Linked DNA regions of Oryzias latipes. Each later gene encodes a partner of the first gene's protein in a complex. Links are inferred from orthologs where the notes say so. Each region holds a gene or a part of one and is shown on either strand. Other genes may lie near its edges.

Evidence for each region. Proteins that work in one complex are often made in the same cells at the same time.
Region 2: the proteins of smc2 (region 1) and ncaph2 are in contact, whole or in part, in a cryo-EM structure (PDB 9F5W), measured with the Homo sapiens proteins. The link is inferred for Oryzias latipes from reciprocal best matches to the Homo sapiens genes SMC2 and NCAPH2. Residues at the interface, in NP_001036015.1 of Homo sapiens: Leu93, Thr125, Gln128, Asp129, Cys132, Gly135, Leu136, Asn137, Met173, Tyr174, Lys177, Lys178; in NP_689512.2 of Homo sapiens: Glu46, Phe53, Ile54, Glu55, Leu58, Leu59, Gly62, Ser63, Ala64, Cys65, Val66, Lys69, Tyr73.
Region 3: smc2 (region 1) and ncaph share a complex: the UniProt entries of both Homo sapiens proteins name them as parts of the condensin complex. The link is inferred for Oryzias latipes from reciprocal best matches to the Homo sapiens genes SMC2 and NCAPH.

What each region holds. Positions count from the first base shown.
Region 1 is NC_019859.2:11,208,280-11,213,290, reverse strand, and holds part of smc2 (structural maintenance of chromosomes protein 2), read right to left. Parts: coding exon 4,962-5,011; intron 4,853-4,961; coding exon 4,693-4,852; intron 4,607-4,692; coding exon 4,489-4,606; intron 3,912-4,488; coding exon 3,773-3,911; intron 3,682-3,772; coding exon 3,562-3,681; intron 3,443-3,561; coding exon 3,238-3,442; intron 3,159-3,237; coding exon 3,023-3,158; intron 2,150-3,022; coding exon 2,025-2,149; intron 1,931-2,024; coding exon 1,737-1,930; intron 1,609-1,736; coding exon 1,465-1,608; intron 650-1,464; coding exon 575-649; intron 439-574; coding exon 319-438; intron 217-318; coding exon 16-216; intron 1-15. UniProt on the Homo sapiens protein: Central component of the condensin complex, a complex required for conversion of interphase chromatin into mitotic-like condense chromosomes.
Region 2 is NC_019881.2:24,032,501-24,036,878, forward strand, and holds part of ncaph2 (condensin-2 complex subunit H2), read right to left. Parts: intron 2,352-4,378; coding exon 2,272-2,351; intron 2,202-2,271; coding exon 1,952-2,201; intron 1,881-1,951; coding exon 1,809-1,880; intron 1,572-1,808; coding exon 1,508-1,571; intron 1,434-1,507; coding exon 1,332-1,433; intron 1,233-1,331; coding exon 1,188-1,232; intron 1,119-1,187; coding exon 1,048-1,118; intron 975-1,047; coding exon 860-974; intron 789-859; coding exon 714-788; intron 486-713; coding exon 439-485; intron 1-438. UniProt on the Homo sapiens protein: Regulatory subunit of the condensin-2 complex, a complex that seems to provide chromosomes with an additional level of organization and rigidity and in establishing mitotic chromosome architecture.
Region 3 is NC_019867.2:25,809,998-25,815,348, reverse strand, and holds the end of ncaph (condensin complex subunit 2), read left to right. Parts: intron 1-968; coding exon 969-1,115; intron 1,116-1,816; coding exon 1,817-1,921; intron 1,922-2,059; coding exon 2,060-2,136; intron 2,137-2,388; coding exon 2,389-2,464; intron 2,465-3,525; coding exon 3,526-3,585; 3' UTR 3,586-3,845; downstream 3,846-5,351. Other genes in the region: vesicle-associated membrane protein 8-like, read left to right, coding at 5,202-5,216. UniProt on the Homo sapiens protein: Regulatory subunit of the condensin complex, a complex required for conversion of interphase chromatin into mitotic-like condense chromosomes.

The sequences.
Region 1 (5,011 bases):
ACAGGAGCTCCTCACCCTTTCCTCTGCCTCGTTCAGCATGTTCATGGCTCTCTTGTTGACGTTCCTCTCCAGCTTGGAAGTGGTTTCTTCCAGCTTCTTCAGCCGCTGGCCCGCCTCACGGGGGTTGTTGACTTTAAAGTCGTAGGAGGAGTTCGGCTGGCCGAAGAAATGGCGCTCCGACTGGATCCAGTCGTGTTCTTCCAGCATCCGAGCCACCTGCAAGTGACACGAACATCTCAAAAATCTAAGCTTTTTCTTTTAAAAGAACAATAGAATCTCTGCGTTCAAGTGAGGAGACAGGTGCAGGTTAGTGCGTACCTTGTCAGCAGCGTCCTGGCTGTCTTTATGATGTTTACTAATGTTGTGTTCCTGCTCCTTGATCTTCAGCTGAACCTCATTGTTCTGCTCTCTTATCTTATTGGCCTCCGAGTTTTTTCCCTATGAGGACAAGCATCTTTAAAAACTGGAAGATCTGCCATTACTGAGAAGAATTAAATACACATTTATGCTGAAAGCCGAGAACAAGCCGAAAGAAAGAAGAAAGCTTTCAATGAAACAGTCAAAATTCCACAACCTTGATCTCCTTGTCCTGTGCCATGATCACTTCTTTGAGTTTGGTCAGCTCCTCCTGGGCTTTCCGCACTGCCTCCTGCGCCACATTCATGATATTAGGCTCACACACACGTACAGTTAAACTGAAAACAAACTCATATTTTCAGCTGGCTTGAAAGAAAATGCAGCTTTATTTTTATTTTTTTTATCTAAAAGAGAGGAAAAAACATTTCATTTGTAAATAGGAAGGGTTGTTTTATTTGCCTCCAACGAAGAAAGTTAAAATAAATTCAGTGTTTCCATCCTGCTGAAGCTTCCTCTAACAACATAGTCAGATTGAAAACTAAATCGATAAAACGTCAGACTTCACAGATGGAAAAGATTAATGTAACTCTACATGTAGCAAACATGACCAAAATCATCACAATGTCATTGGCTCAAACAAACAATCTATGTAGATGACGATTTTTTGTTTTTGGCTCAAATTCAAAGTCTTAGAGCATCTGAAAGGTTTCTCTCCGCTCCAAAACCTCTTTTAAAACATGCCGAAAGACTGTAGAACACTGCTGTTTTGTCTGTTTACTATTTATGCCTCCTAATTTATGTGATGATTCTATTTTCTTTCCTCTGAAAAAGGCCATTTTTAAAGTTGCATAATTATTTTCTAAGGTTTGAATTTGTGATTTTGAATCTTTGAACTGAATTTTTTGAAGTAAAAGTTTTTTTGGTATGTTTTGTATCTCCACAGAAATCATCGCTTTCTGGATCTATTCAAGCTGATTTGGTTTAGCTCGACTTTCTCAACAAACATCCTCTCCTTTCTTAAAAATCATGAGGATTTAGTGCTGCTATTGCAAATCTCTGCCGGGAAAGCTTTTAGGAGACTGTTGCCTTCCCAGCCGACACTCCTACCTTGTTCTGGGTCACGGTGCAGGCCATGCTGTCTATTTGTTCCTGAAAGGCCTTCATGGCCTCGTCGACGGCCTGAATCTGCTGCTCGTAGGTGGCCTGCTCCCTCCGGAGCTCCTCCAGCTCCAAGGCCACAGCTTCAGACTCCTGGAGACGAGAATAAACAAACCCAATGATTAGAAATATTAAATCAAATATTACAAAGGTTTAGCTATCTTAAAATAATTCTGGGAACCACTCATTTCTGCATATTTTCATTAAAACAAACAGTTTACCTGCTGCTTCTGCTTTAAAGTCTTGTTGAAGGCGTCTGCTTTTGCTTTTGCTTTGTTGAGTTTCTCCTGGGCAGCCTTCAACTCCTTCTCCCTCTCAGCCTCGGCATTCTTCATTTTGTTTTCCAGCACCTTGTACTTCTCCTCGGCTCGCTTCTGCAGCTCCTTGGTGAGGCGCAAAGTGGCCTCACTCTCGTCTGGGGAAGCAAACGTCACAAAAGGTCTTAAAATAACTGCAGATGAAACCTCCCGCTTTCCCTCCCTCTATTAAACTGAAGTTAAAGTCCAGACCGATGGCTTTCTGCAGCCTCTCCAGCTCCTCCTGCTGCTGATGGAAGGAGCTCTGCTGCAGCTTGGTCTGCAGGATCTGCTCCTCCTCCACCTTCAGCTCGTGCTGCTGCTTCAGCTGCCGATACCTGCAGAAAGGGAAAAGTGAAATGAAAAACGTCATTTGGAATAAATTAACCAAAGAAATCCTTTCTAAACTACGACAGAGTTGTAAACTGGCCCTAAACAGCTGGGCCTTATACGTTTTTTAAAAGCAGGCTTCCTCAGACAACTTAAAAAATAAATTAAAAAAACACGGTTATCTTCTTTGATTTGACTTTTGTCTCATAAAAATATCCTTCACTACAAGATCAAACAAAACATCTCTATAACTTCTGATTTTTAACTGCAGGCCAAACAAGAAATGTAAAATAGACTTAATAGATTTTTTTTAACACTTGTCACCAGTAGCTTGTTTTAAAGAAACACAATGAATTAAAAAATATATAATCAAGCTGAATTGAATGTTTTATTGATTAAGAGGATCTAATTTTCCATGGTGCATAATAGGGATGCCACCATTCTCGGTTTCAAACCAAACTGTTTGCTCCACATTTAAACCGCATTGTGGGGAAGGGGATTTGTTCCATCGCTACTGCGTGTTTACATTGAAAGTGTCAAACAGTTGTGCTAAATTTAAGAAGGATTTACTATTTATTGTCTTATTACATTACTCCAGGCTTAGTATTAGCCAACTGATATATATATATATATTTTTTTTTTGCTTATTAGCAAATTTAAAATGATTTTTTCAAAAATGTTGTTTGTCTCTTTGTAGTACAAAAGTCATATTTCGAACCGTGACCCAAAAATTGAGGTTTGAACTGAATCGAGGGGAAAGTGAATCACTGCATCCCACTTAAAAGAAGGGGTTTCACAACAGAAAGTACCGCTAGTTTTAGTAAATATATAGGAGTTTTTTTAATGTGTAGAGGAACTTTTCTGCTTTTTCATTTGCATACTTCTCAGCGGTTCCCTTCAGACTGGACATCTGTCGCTCAGTATCCTGAAGTTTGGCCTCCTTATCGCTCAGGCTGTCCTGAACATCTTTTACTTCCTGCAGGCTCGACAAAATCGATGCCGACTGCGAGCGAGCGCCTGGAAAGAAAAAAAGAGGAGCCAAGTATTGAAACTGATTTGATTTTCCAAGGAAACAGGAGTCGAGCGTTGATCTCACCTCCACTCAAAGTTCCCTGCGGGTCAAAGATGTCTCCCCCAAGCGTAACAGTCTTGGTCATCACCTGTTTGTCAAACGCCACTTTCTTTGCGTTGTCCAAAGTGTCACAGACCAGCGTGGAGCCGAACACATACTCCATGGCTTTACGAAGGTCAGACTCGTATCCCACCAGGGACAGAGCTGTGTGAACGTTGTCCTCCCCGACCTCACAGAACAAAGACAAAATCACGGAAAATTACCTACGAGAAAACCTAATGAATGAGATGTGATTCCTTTTATACACAAGAAAAAGTCGGAGACTATGAAAGCACAGAGTTTTCTCACCAGGCGCTTCGCGGTGTGGATCACTTTGTCGTTGAGAGTTTTGGCAGATATCTTGTTGAGAGGAATGATGGTGTACCTGCGCTGTAGCTCTCCTTTCTCCAGCAGCTTCTTACCAGTCACCTAAGAAGGAAGGATTCAATCATTTAGTCACAAAGATTCTGTTTATTCACCTGTGAAATAAATTTAAAAAAAAAACTTTCAAAAGGTCTACCTCTGTGTCTACAACAATGTTGTAGAGCCGTCCACCTGCAACTACCTCCAGTGCCGTGGCATAGGAAACATCACTGACACTTATGAGATTAGCTAGAAGGCCCTTCACTTTGCTTCGGTCCCAGCCTCTCTCCGGATCTCTGGGAGACAGCAGAATTTATTACAACAGAAAAGAAGAAAAATGCAAACTGAAGAAAAGAAAAATGACTCAAATAAAACATCGTCAAGAGGAAGAAAAAAAACTCAATTCATGGTGGACAAGATAAGAAATTAAAGTTCTATTTCTTAATCAAATCTTTAGATTAGATAGTTCATAGAGATGAAAGAAACAGCAGAATCAATCATTTGTCCACACTTAAAACTTCAAATCAAAATAGTTCCTGTTTATGTTTAAGCTGTAAAATCTTGTAAACTGTTAAACTATTTGGAATTAGCTGTTAATGAATTTATGGATCAATTTTGCCCCACTCCAAAAACCATTATGTTGCTGCAAATGAAAATATGAACAAAATTAAAATCACTACATATGAAATAATTCACTAACTGCAGGCATTTTACTTTTCCAGTCAATAAACTAAACACATCTGCCACCTGGTTTATTTATAGATTTTGAATAAGAATGTTAAACGAAATCTTACGTGTCTGGGCTTATACGCTGTTATGTAAATTAAAATGTACATTTAAAGGCATGATACTCAAACAGATAGAAGCGTTTACTTGTATTCAAAGCGCAGGCTGGGAAAACGAGACATGAGTCGGTCAAAGGTCTCCTTAAGTTGAGCGACTTCTCTGGAAAGCTGTCTTCGTTTTTCCATCAGGCTTTCTTCTTTTCCATCTGCAGCAGCACAAACACAAGTTGAGTCACTAAACAGGCAAAAGCTTTTACAACATTCGTCTTTTATTTTCAGGAGAATGCTGCACCTTCATAGTTGAGTTTGGCCAGCTCCGCCTCCAGTTTCTCTCGGCTGCTTTTGACGGCCTTAAAGGTGTCCTGATCTTTCTTGTAGCCGCTGTCCATCTTCTTCATCTCCGCTTGTTTGGTCTTCAGCTCTGCCTGGGCATGCTTCAGGGTCATTTGGGCCTGTGCAAAGATGGAAATGGTTGGGTTTCGGATCAAATAATTCAACGGAGAAGCAGCAGGTGTGCAGGACGTCAAGCCACTGCACATCAAAAGTGTCTCTTTTCTCCACCTGCTTGGCCTCTGTGTCTGCTTTGCTCATCTCGTTCTTGCAGGCCATCA
Region 2 (4,378 bases), on another chromosome or scaffold:
GCAGGTAGTGATTACCAATCAGTGATGGGTTGAACCGGTTTCTTCTAGTGGCTGGGTAGCTCGGTTGGTAAGGTGGAAGGCTGCCACGCAGGAACCCAAGGTTCGACTCCCAGCGGGGAATCAACAATGGTACTGGGGGCAATTACCATTACAATTAACATCACTCAGTGGGGCAAAACTTAATGCTACTGCCTCCCGAGCTGCAGCTCACAGCTCCCCCAGGGGATGGGTCAAATGCAGAGAAGAATTATTGATAAATAAATTATTTATTATTATTAGACACCGTGGCCCCACCAAATTGCACATTTTAAATGTGGAGGTGGGCGGAGCCATGAAATGGCCAACGCCCTTCATTCATCTGACGTTTAATCCACCAGAGATTCATTTGACCCTCGGGCCGACCCAGACAATAAAAACGGTCAACGGCAGCCGACTCACCACCTGCAGCTTCACCAGGTCTTCGTAGGACAGCTCATCCGCCTGATCTGCAGACAGAAGGAGAGGCTGAGACGTGCACACACACACGTGCACACATACAGGGGTGAGACAGACTTAGCCCCGCCCCGTTTTCTTCTGATGCAAAATTTCAACCTGAAAACTAGATTTACCCAACCCCTCCGTGCCTCAGGTTTTTCTACCAACCCAAATCCTCACCAGTCCGGTCAAAACCGGACGGCGGGACCATCAGACACCTGAAACCGGGTCAACTTTACCTGCAATGTGCTGAGCTCCTCCAGCAAAGTCTGCAGGATCTTCAGGAGACTCTTCCTCTGAGAGGTCGTGCTCTCCTGCACACACTGCTGGTCAGACGTGGTACTGCAAGCGTTGGCGTCTCACAAAGATGCAAAACCTTTTTTACCAAACATGTCAGCGTCCCTGAAGGCGTCTGCAGGCTCATCCCCCTCCTGCTGCAGCCCCACCTCCTGTGGCTGCAGCAAGGTTCTCCTCAGCTCATCCTCTGACATCACCAGACCCTGGTGGACGTCATCCTAATCATCATCATGTTCAGGTCCAGACTGAAGGCTTGTAAAGTGCGGCAGGTCTCACCACTCTGCGATTGAGCCTCCTCCTGGTCCGGATCTTGTCCTTCAGTGACTTCAGGTAGATGTAGTTCAGGTCTGAAACAGGAAGTGGAGTCAGGAAAAGACCCGCCTCTCAGTTTGCCAGAGTCCTGATGTGCTGTGTACCTGTGAAGGTGGGTCCACCTTTTAGCTTGTTCTCCATAGGACCAGCTGTAGCACACGAGCACCCGCGCGCACACACACACACACACACACATGAGGATGATGATGTGGCTTTCATGAAACATCAGTGTGAGCAGTAGTTCTCACAGGTTCCTCTGAACCAGCTCCTGAAGTCCTGCAGAGGACAAGGGCACCTCCTCTTCCTCTTTCCTCCTTCATCCAGACCGTGTGGAACCCTGTAGCACCTCCCTAAGGAGACACACAACTGTGAGTGGACACAACTTTGTGTAGTGACACCCAGCTGAGGAACGGCCTTGACTGACCCATCCTGAAGGGCTTGTCGTGGGCGAGGACAGCGTAGGGGTCGTGGAGCGTCCAGACGTTCACCTGGAACAGAGAGACCTTCAGGTAGACGTTTACTTGTGGAGAAGCGTTTCAGAAAGTCCTGAGAACGAAGAAAGACGTCCTACAAACGCCTCTGACTAAAACGGGAGGACCGGCTTACAGCCCGGTCTGCACCTGACACCTTCACCTGAAGGCTGACAGAAACGAGGCAGAGGAGATGGGACTGCACATCTGCAGGATGAAGAACAGACAAGTGGTCTGTGGAATCAGGTGACCTACTGGAGGCGGGGCATCCTGCTGGGGTCTTTCCTCAGCAAAGATCTGCCGTTTCTCTCGGACGCCGCTCCCAGCCTGCAACACAGCCACAACAAGTTCAGGTTCTGGACCGTCCAGGTGGAGCACCTGTGCTGTTCTGATGAGACCTGGTGCCGGTCCACATGCTGCTCTGGGTCCTGGTCACTTCTGTCTTCTGGACGGCAGTCTTCTCCTGCCTCAGGGGGCACGTCTGCACCCATGGAGGCATCAACAGAGGAATCCTGATGCAAGAAGTTGGCGGGATGCAGGTCCAGCTCCAGCGCAGAGCGCAGCCTCAGTAAGACCACGCCCCCCTCCCCCGGGAAGAACAGGTTAATCCGAAAGTCCCTCTGGCTGCACAGCACCTCCCCCTTCACACTGACACACGAAGAGACGGCTGTGAGCAGAGCGCACGGCCCGGCGGGTCAGACCCTGCCGCTCCACCCACCTGATGAGGGGCAGCTTCTGCTTCTCCTGGCTTTCTGGAGGAATCAGAGACTCGGGAGGAAGAGGAGTGACGACCACGGTCTGAGGGTCACATGACAGCAATCACACGCTTACGGCCTGTGTACCTCCCAACAGGCAACACCTGTGTACCTCCCAACAGGCAACACCTGTGTACCTCCCAACAGGCAACACCTGTGTACCTCCCAACAGGCAACACCTGTGTACCTCCCAACAGGCAACACCTGTGTACCTCCCAACAGGCAACACCTGTGTACCTCCCAACAGGCAACACCTGTGTACCTCCCAACAGGCAACACCTGTGTACCTCCCAACAGGCAACACCTGTGTACCTCGCAACAGGTAACACCTGTGTACCTCGCAACAGGTAACACCTGTGTACCTCGCAACAGGTAACACCTGTGTACCTCCTAACAGGTAACACCTGTGTACCTCCTAACAGGTAACACCTGTGTACCTCCTAACAGGTAACGCCGCGGCCTCTTTTCTGAAGACACCGGGGGGGGTATTCCAGGAAGCAGGTTCTGCTAGCTCCCACGGTAAGTTTGAGGCTAAGGAAGTTGATAACCTCAGCTTTCGGTTCCAGAAATGGAGGTATGTTTCAGGGTAGGTCAAGTTGCCATAGCAACTCATGCTCTGAACATAACCTGGTCTGGAGCAGGTTTAGTTGAAGGTTAGTTTGTTTTCAGAGAGGTGAAGCAGCATGGCGTGTCCATTTGAAGATGATTTAGTGGATGAAGAAGCTCAGATAATACTTTTTCCACCATGAGAGAGTGATAAGACCACATATGGATGTTGGAAAGAGAAACTTTATACTTTGATCTAACTTCATTATTTGCTTCAGTTAAGATAAATCATTTTTTTTGTTAAGTTAGATTAAAAATAAAACGTAGTTTTCAGACAGTTGTTTTACTTTCATTCAAATTAATTCAATTAAGTAGGTGCTGTTAGATCGGCACCGCAAAGGATTGTGGGATACCATTCCCTTTGCCTGTCTGGACGGATTTGGATTTAAGTGTGGCTTTGTGACCAAATGTGTTTAGTTGTTTAGCTGTTTTACTGTGTTTTGTCGAGTTATTTTGTCCTACTTTGCTTACGTCTCTGCACCATGAGTGAGAGGGAGGGAGAGGATTATTGATTATTTAATCAATTTATACACTTTGTGCATTTTGTTTCGTCCTTTTTATTGTTATACAAATGAGAATATCTGCCGGCTCAAACTTAGACATTTGAGAGTTCAAGAAATATAATTAAGATGGAAAAAATATTAATTGAATTGGAGTAATATGACATTTAGTTAGATAAATACGTAAATTTGAGTTGCATAAACAATTATTGAGTTTTATAGACGTAAGAAATTACGTTGAATAATTTTAACTCAATTATTTGTTACCAATAGAAGTAATTCATTTAAGTTGGCAAAATTGGATAAGTTATATATATATATATATTTCTGCGTCACAAAGAAAATGGAAATAAGATCAGAAACTCGTGCGTTTACTTTGTTCTTTGTCTCCAAGCAGAAACTCTCTTTTGCTGATGATGCAGCCGTGTTACTTTTTTGATGGACGTATAATCTTCATACGGCGTCATTAAAATCTCAGACTCCGTCTCACTGAAGTATAGCGCTTTCTTTTTTTCCACGTGTTTCCATGGTGACTCCAGAAAGCGGCGATCCATTGAGAATGTCTTTATGTACCTGCTGTGCACGTGCATTAACCCAGGGTTACCAAGTGGAGCGTGATTACGTTAACTCATATCCGGTCTTTTGGAACCGACATACCCAGAGTAAGCAAGTTCGGGTGGATTTCAGCCAGAGTTCAGGCTTAAAGTCAGGGAAGTTTAATCATGCTATCTGGAATATTCTTCCTGGAATTTAAAAAAGAACTGGACATAAACTGCTCATGTTATCGTTCCTCACCAGAAACTGTGCCTCATCAGTTTTGCTCTTTCACTCCAACATTTTGGAAAGATTTGACTCATTTTAGAACAAACCCCGTGAAACTATAAATGATTCTATGAACATATTTCTGGATATTTTACACGAGGGAGATTTAATGCAGAGAAAACATAGATAGTTAACTTACTTA
Region 3 (5,351 bases), on another chromosome or scaffold:
TTTTCTTCAAATTATTGATACTCTGCAGTACATATCATGCAATTAGTTGAATTCAGTCAGATAGCTGGAACTAAATGCTGCAAATTTTTCTGTCAAAGTGCCTTTATAAACACTTTTTGATACAAATCTTTTGGTGGTTTTACTCAATTCTCTACATATTTCCAGTCAACCAAAGATCATAGATTATTTTTTATTATGTAACATGGTCCGGGTGAATAATGGATTCTGATTGGCTGCTGGGTGTGCATTAAAATGTGATAATCCACAGTGATAATGCACACCTAAAAAAACAAGAAGTTCTGGTGTCTCATAGATGAAATCCCTTTGTATCACTTTGTTGACTTTTTTAAAAATAAACTTTAGCTTCATTATCTGGACAAAAACGAGTGGTAAGAGGTGAACTTTCTCTCTGAACTGATGCTTTATTTAATCCATAGTGATGATCAGAATATATAGCACTTTCTTCTGCCACACCGCATAAAAAAAGCGATCTAAACCGAACAAATGAAAAGAAAAACATACTAAAAGCGGATTGAATATGACCATGGTTTATGCCATGCGTTAATTTCTGATAATGCTTACTTTGTCGGCCATGATCCTTTACTTATGTAACATAGGTCTATACAAAAGTCAAAGTTTGTTCGTTAATGTGTGTAAATGGGCAGTCCAGGCCATCAGCTTCATGACTGACATCAGCTAGCACTAATCTGCTGTGTCATGCTAAAACACCAACATGCTGCAGTTTAAAGCAACTTCATCACCTCAAACTGCTGGGGTTACGAAACTGCTGCCACATCACCAAGAGTGGGAGAGCTGACCAGACATGACTTTGTTCCGTTCAGTTACTGCGTGCCAACCTTACTCACTAAAGCCATTTATGGGGAACATTTTTGATAAAACAGTAAAGCAAACAAAGCTTTTATCTTTGCGTTTCCTTCTGTCATCTCCTGGTCTGTCCTCTGCTTCAGGGGGGTGACAGTGATGACGACGATGTTGAGGGGTTTACTGGTTCCGATGACATCCAGCCGTCAGGTGGTAGTGAAGCTCCACCCTCACAAGACCTGGAGGGTGTGTCCACCTACGGGGAGGATGAACTGGTACCTGAGCCTCACAGAGTGAGTCATGCAGGGTTTTTTTTTCTTTTTCAAGAACACATAATGGATTTAGTTTGTTTTGTTTGTTTGACACGTATTCATTTACCTGGCAGTAAACCTGAAGCCTGTGAATCTCGATCATGAAAGGGCCTGCATCATGTAAAATCAACCTTTTGAGCTTTTAAGTGTATTATCATGTTAATTCCTCACTATAAACAACCCCAAAGCGGTATTCGGATCCATTCACGCATTTCTGAGCACCAGCCCCTCCCAACCCGTGAAAATAAGCGGGTTCATTGTGGCGTAGATAAGTGAGGAACAGCCCCTTCCAGGAAAAGTCTACCCTGCCAGCGCCACCCCCAGGCTAACACGCACACCCACTTTCTCCACAAACCGAGCGGTGATCATCAAAAGCGCTTTCCTTTTATAAGCACATGTATCTTTGCAATAGTTCAAATGTTGTTTGTTTTTATTGGCGAGATGCAGCCGAGGCCGACTCTAGGTTGATGTCATGAAGTGAGCGGCACCCAAGCGAAAAAGAACTGATGAAAATAACAAATATTTAATACAAAATTTGTTCTGTAGTGTGCCAAAATGTAATTTATTATTACATATATGGATATAGTTCACTCAGAAATGCTTAAAAAGCATGATTGAGGCCTTTTCCAAAAAGGCTGAACTTTGTATGGAATTGATTTTTACTCTACTGCTTGTGTTTGCAGGTCAACAAAATTGAAATCAATTATGCCAAGACAGCAAAGAAAATGGATATGAAGAAGCTTAAGAACAGCATGTGGACTCTTTTAACAGATAGTCCAGAAGAAAAGGTACAGGTGCTTTTACTTTGTTTCTTTCTTTTTTGTCTGTATTGTATCATGTTGATGAATGTTTAGGTGTCTGGCGTTGGTGCTTGAGGACGGTCTAGAGAGGGCAGCTGTGTTCATCTGGTTTTTGTCTTTCTGCAGGTGAAGGAGACTGTTGAGACTCAGGATGTGTGTGGGGAGAAAGCCTTCAGTCAGACCACAAAGATGCTGCTTCAAAGGTACCAACACAACTCTGGCACTTATAGCAACAATCATCAAAAGCTTTAGAAAGCCTCACATTCTACTAACATTGCTGGTTTGGAATCCATGCGTGGGTTTTACCAAAAAGTTTTGGCTCCTCCAACACTTTTTTTTTTCGTATTCTTGTGAGACATTATCTTCCTTTATAGACTGATGCTGACAGAACCTTGAAGAGTTTGATTTGAAATGTGCTCCTCCTCCTTCTCCCCCCTCCTTCTTGTACCCCTTAGGTTGCCGAACGTTATGGCTCAGAACCTGTCGGTGCCGCTGGCCTTTGTGGCTCTGCTTCATCTGGCAAATGAAAAGGTGCAACTATTTATTAGAAAATAAAAGAAAACATTGCAACCCTCTTGGCATTACAATAACTCCTAATCATAAATAGACAAACTTGCATTTTTATGTACAGTACAATCAATTCAATATAATGATTGTCAGATAGAGTTTGATGAATAGCTTGAAATGAAGTGGGAAGAAGCAAATTTACATAATCCCACCAAAAATAAACAAATATTAAGCATATGATGGAGCTAAAAGAAGTGTTTCACACTTTTCTGTGTTGTTTTTTTACTTAAAAGGGGAACATAATTTCTAGTTGCTTAGCATGTGATCTAGTTTTTTCCGTCTTTTGACAGTGTGTGAAAGTTTGAAATGGCTAATTGACACGCACATCTGTAACGTATATCTATTACATATACTGATGTCATCATGTAATCAGTTCCTAGATTAATGGGAAAAAAAGTGTTTATCATTTACCAATGAACAGCAGGACTGACGACCCGACTCTATTTTTGGTTGTCAAAAAAACCAAAATAATATTGGTTCATGAGTTAATTCATTTAAAATCAAATGGAAGTAAATGAGTTGTACTGTATTTGAGGTTCTGAAAATATCTTATCAGTTTGGTTTCTTTTTATTTAACCTTTATTTTACCAGGAAGTCCCTTGAGATAAAACATTTTTAGAGAGAGACGTGACCCAGAGGCATTGATACACACACAAACATAAAACCATGAAAATAAAAGAACATTTGAAACAGCTCAAGATAAACATGTGCACTCTTCGGTCACTCACTCAGTGTTATCAGTTTGTGGGATCACTTTGCTTATAAAGATAGTGACAGACGTGTCATTACTCCTACTCGACTTTAAAATGTTTCAACTTAAGAGCCTTTTAAATGAATCCTGTTTGTCTTTAAAATGACTTTAATTTAACATTATATTTGACATTAATTTATTATCAAGAGCAACTTTCAGCTTTAGGAATTCTACTTTTATAAAAGGTTATAACAACATAACCCAAGTTATTTTCTGTAGACAAACGTCTGAAGCTTTAACACCTTTTAACAGTTTTGAATTGTCTGTTTTACAGAATTTGGAGCTGGTCAAAGTTGATGACATGTCAGACATTATCATCAGACAAGGCCGCTAAGGAGAAAACCAGGAGATTTTTTTAAATTCTGTCCTCTTCTTTCTTTGAATTTATGCTTTTTCTATTTAAAATGTCAGGTTTTATTCACTTTGTGCTTAAGTTTTAAATCTGCCCTTTTTTCCCTCATAATGACAAGACGACCTTTTTTTTAACTCTGTACTATTTCATGATTATCTGTTGTGTAGATAAAAGAACTTTTCAACCACTGCTCAAAAGATATATATTGTCAAAAGAAATAAAATGTTTTTTTTTCCCATAAATGTGGTTGAGTTTGTGACTTAAATTTGGGCAGAACGTGTGAAATCCTGGCACATTAAACCTGTTTATAGTGTGAGTTTGCAACTTTGCTGTCGCCTTCCCGTAGAGGTTAAGCCGGTTTGTCTGGGTCTGTGCTTCCATCTGGGTGAGACGACATGACGTCCTTTCATTAAGGAGATACAGAACAAGAAAGAGCAGAGGACTAATCACATTCCAGTCCTTGGCGTAGAAGTTTTTAATCTTGCACACAGGAACTTTGATATAAACAGTGTTTTTACTTTAGGTTTCCTAATTTAATCCTAATATAATGGTAGAAATGTGCTTTTGTCCGATTATCACTAAATTGTGTAATGTGTCTCAAAATGTTTATAGTAATGCAATTAATATATAACACATAAGTAATTAGTTTTGTTTGTTTTGTTAAATATACTGTTTAAAAGTGGTTTTCCCATCATACCTCTCTTCAGACTTTCTGTTTAAAAACACAAAAGATTACTTCAAAGGATTCAAGGAGTATTTATTGCCAGTGAGCAGGGCATTTTCACAGAATTGGAATTTGCTGCGGTGCTAATGTGCGACATAAAACACTTGAATAACAAAAATAAATACCAGAGCAAAAAAAAAAAAAAAGATCTGAAAGGGGTGAGTTAAGAGTTAACATTCATGACTCCTATCTCAGATCCAACATGTGATGGAAACACCCTCAGATGGGAATTGAGTAGGAAGGCTGGAGCCACACAAAACCCAACATTAAGGGAACAATAGAGTCATGCCTTCAAAATAAAAGCATGTCCTGTCTTTATAATGAAATATTATCAGAAGCTGAAAAGTCAAATGGCACAAGCCAGATACGATCTGCAGTAAATACTTAACACATGTGGATGTGTTTTTATTATTATTATTGCTATTGGTCTTGATATTTTAATAATTATTGAAATGAGGTGGAGGGGAAATAGTGAGATACCTCTATTTTTTGATTTTTATCAGATTTTTATCGGTCCTTTTTTTACTCTAATAAACTAGCAAAATATTTGGAATCGTCATTCTAAAAAAAATAGCAATAGAAATGTCACTGTTGCACTTTTTCTTTCTTAATTGTAGGTTCTACGTCGCAAATTCAAAGTCGCAGAGCGGAAGCAGCGGTTGTGTTGCGGCGCACCGACGTCTTGAAGCGGAGGAATTCTATGACCGGAACAAAAAATAGGACCAGGAAGTTGAAGTGTCGAGCGCGTCCCCGTCACGATAGAGCAACAAACTAAAGTTTTAACAAAGTATTTTTAAAAGGTTTTAGCTTATAGGTCCGCTTCGGGAAACGTGTTTTCATTGATTATCGATCAGGGGACATCATTTCCAGCGACATGGACCATGATCCGGTAGGTACTGAGAGACCTGTTTTGAGACCCAAGTAAGAAAGTAAGTTGTTGTTTGGAGTCATGCAACAACAGGTGAAGCTAGCTTCAAAAAATGGATTATTTAACCTGGGTTGATAACAATAAACTCTTACTTTT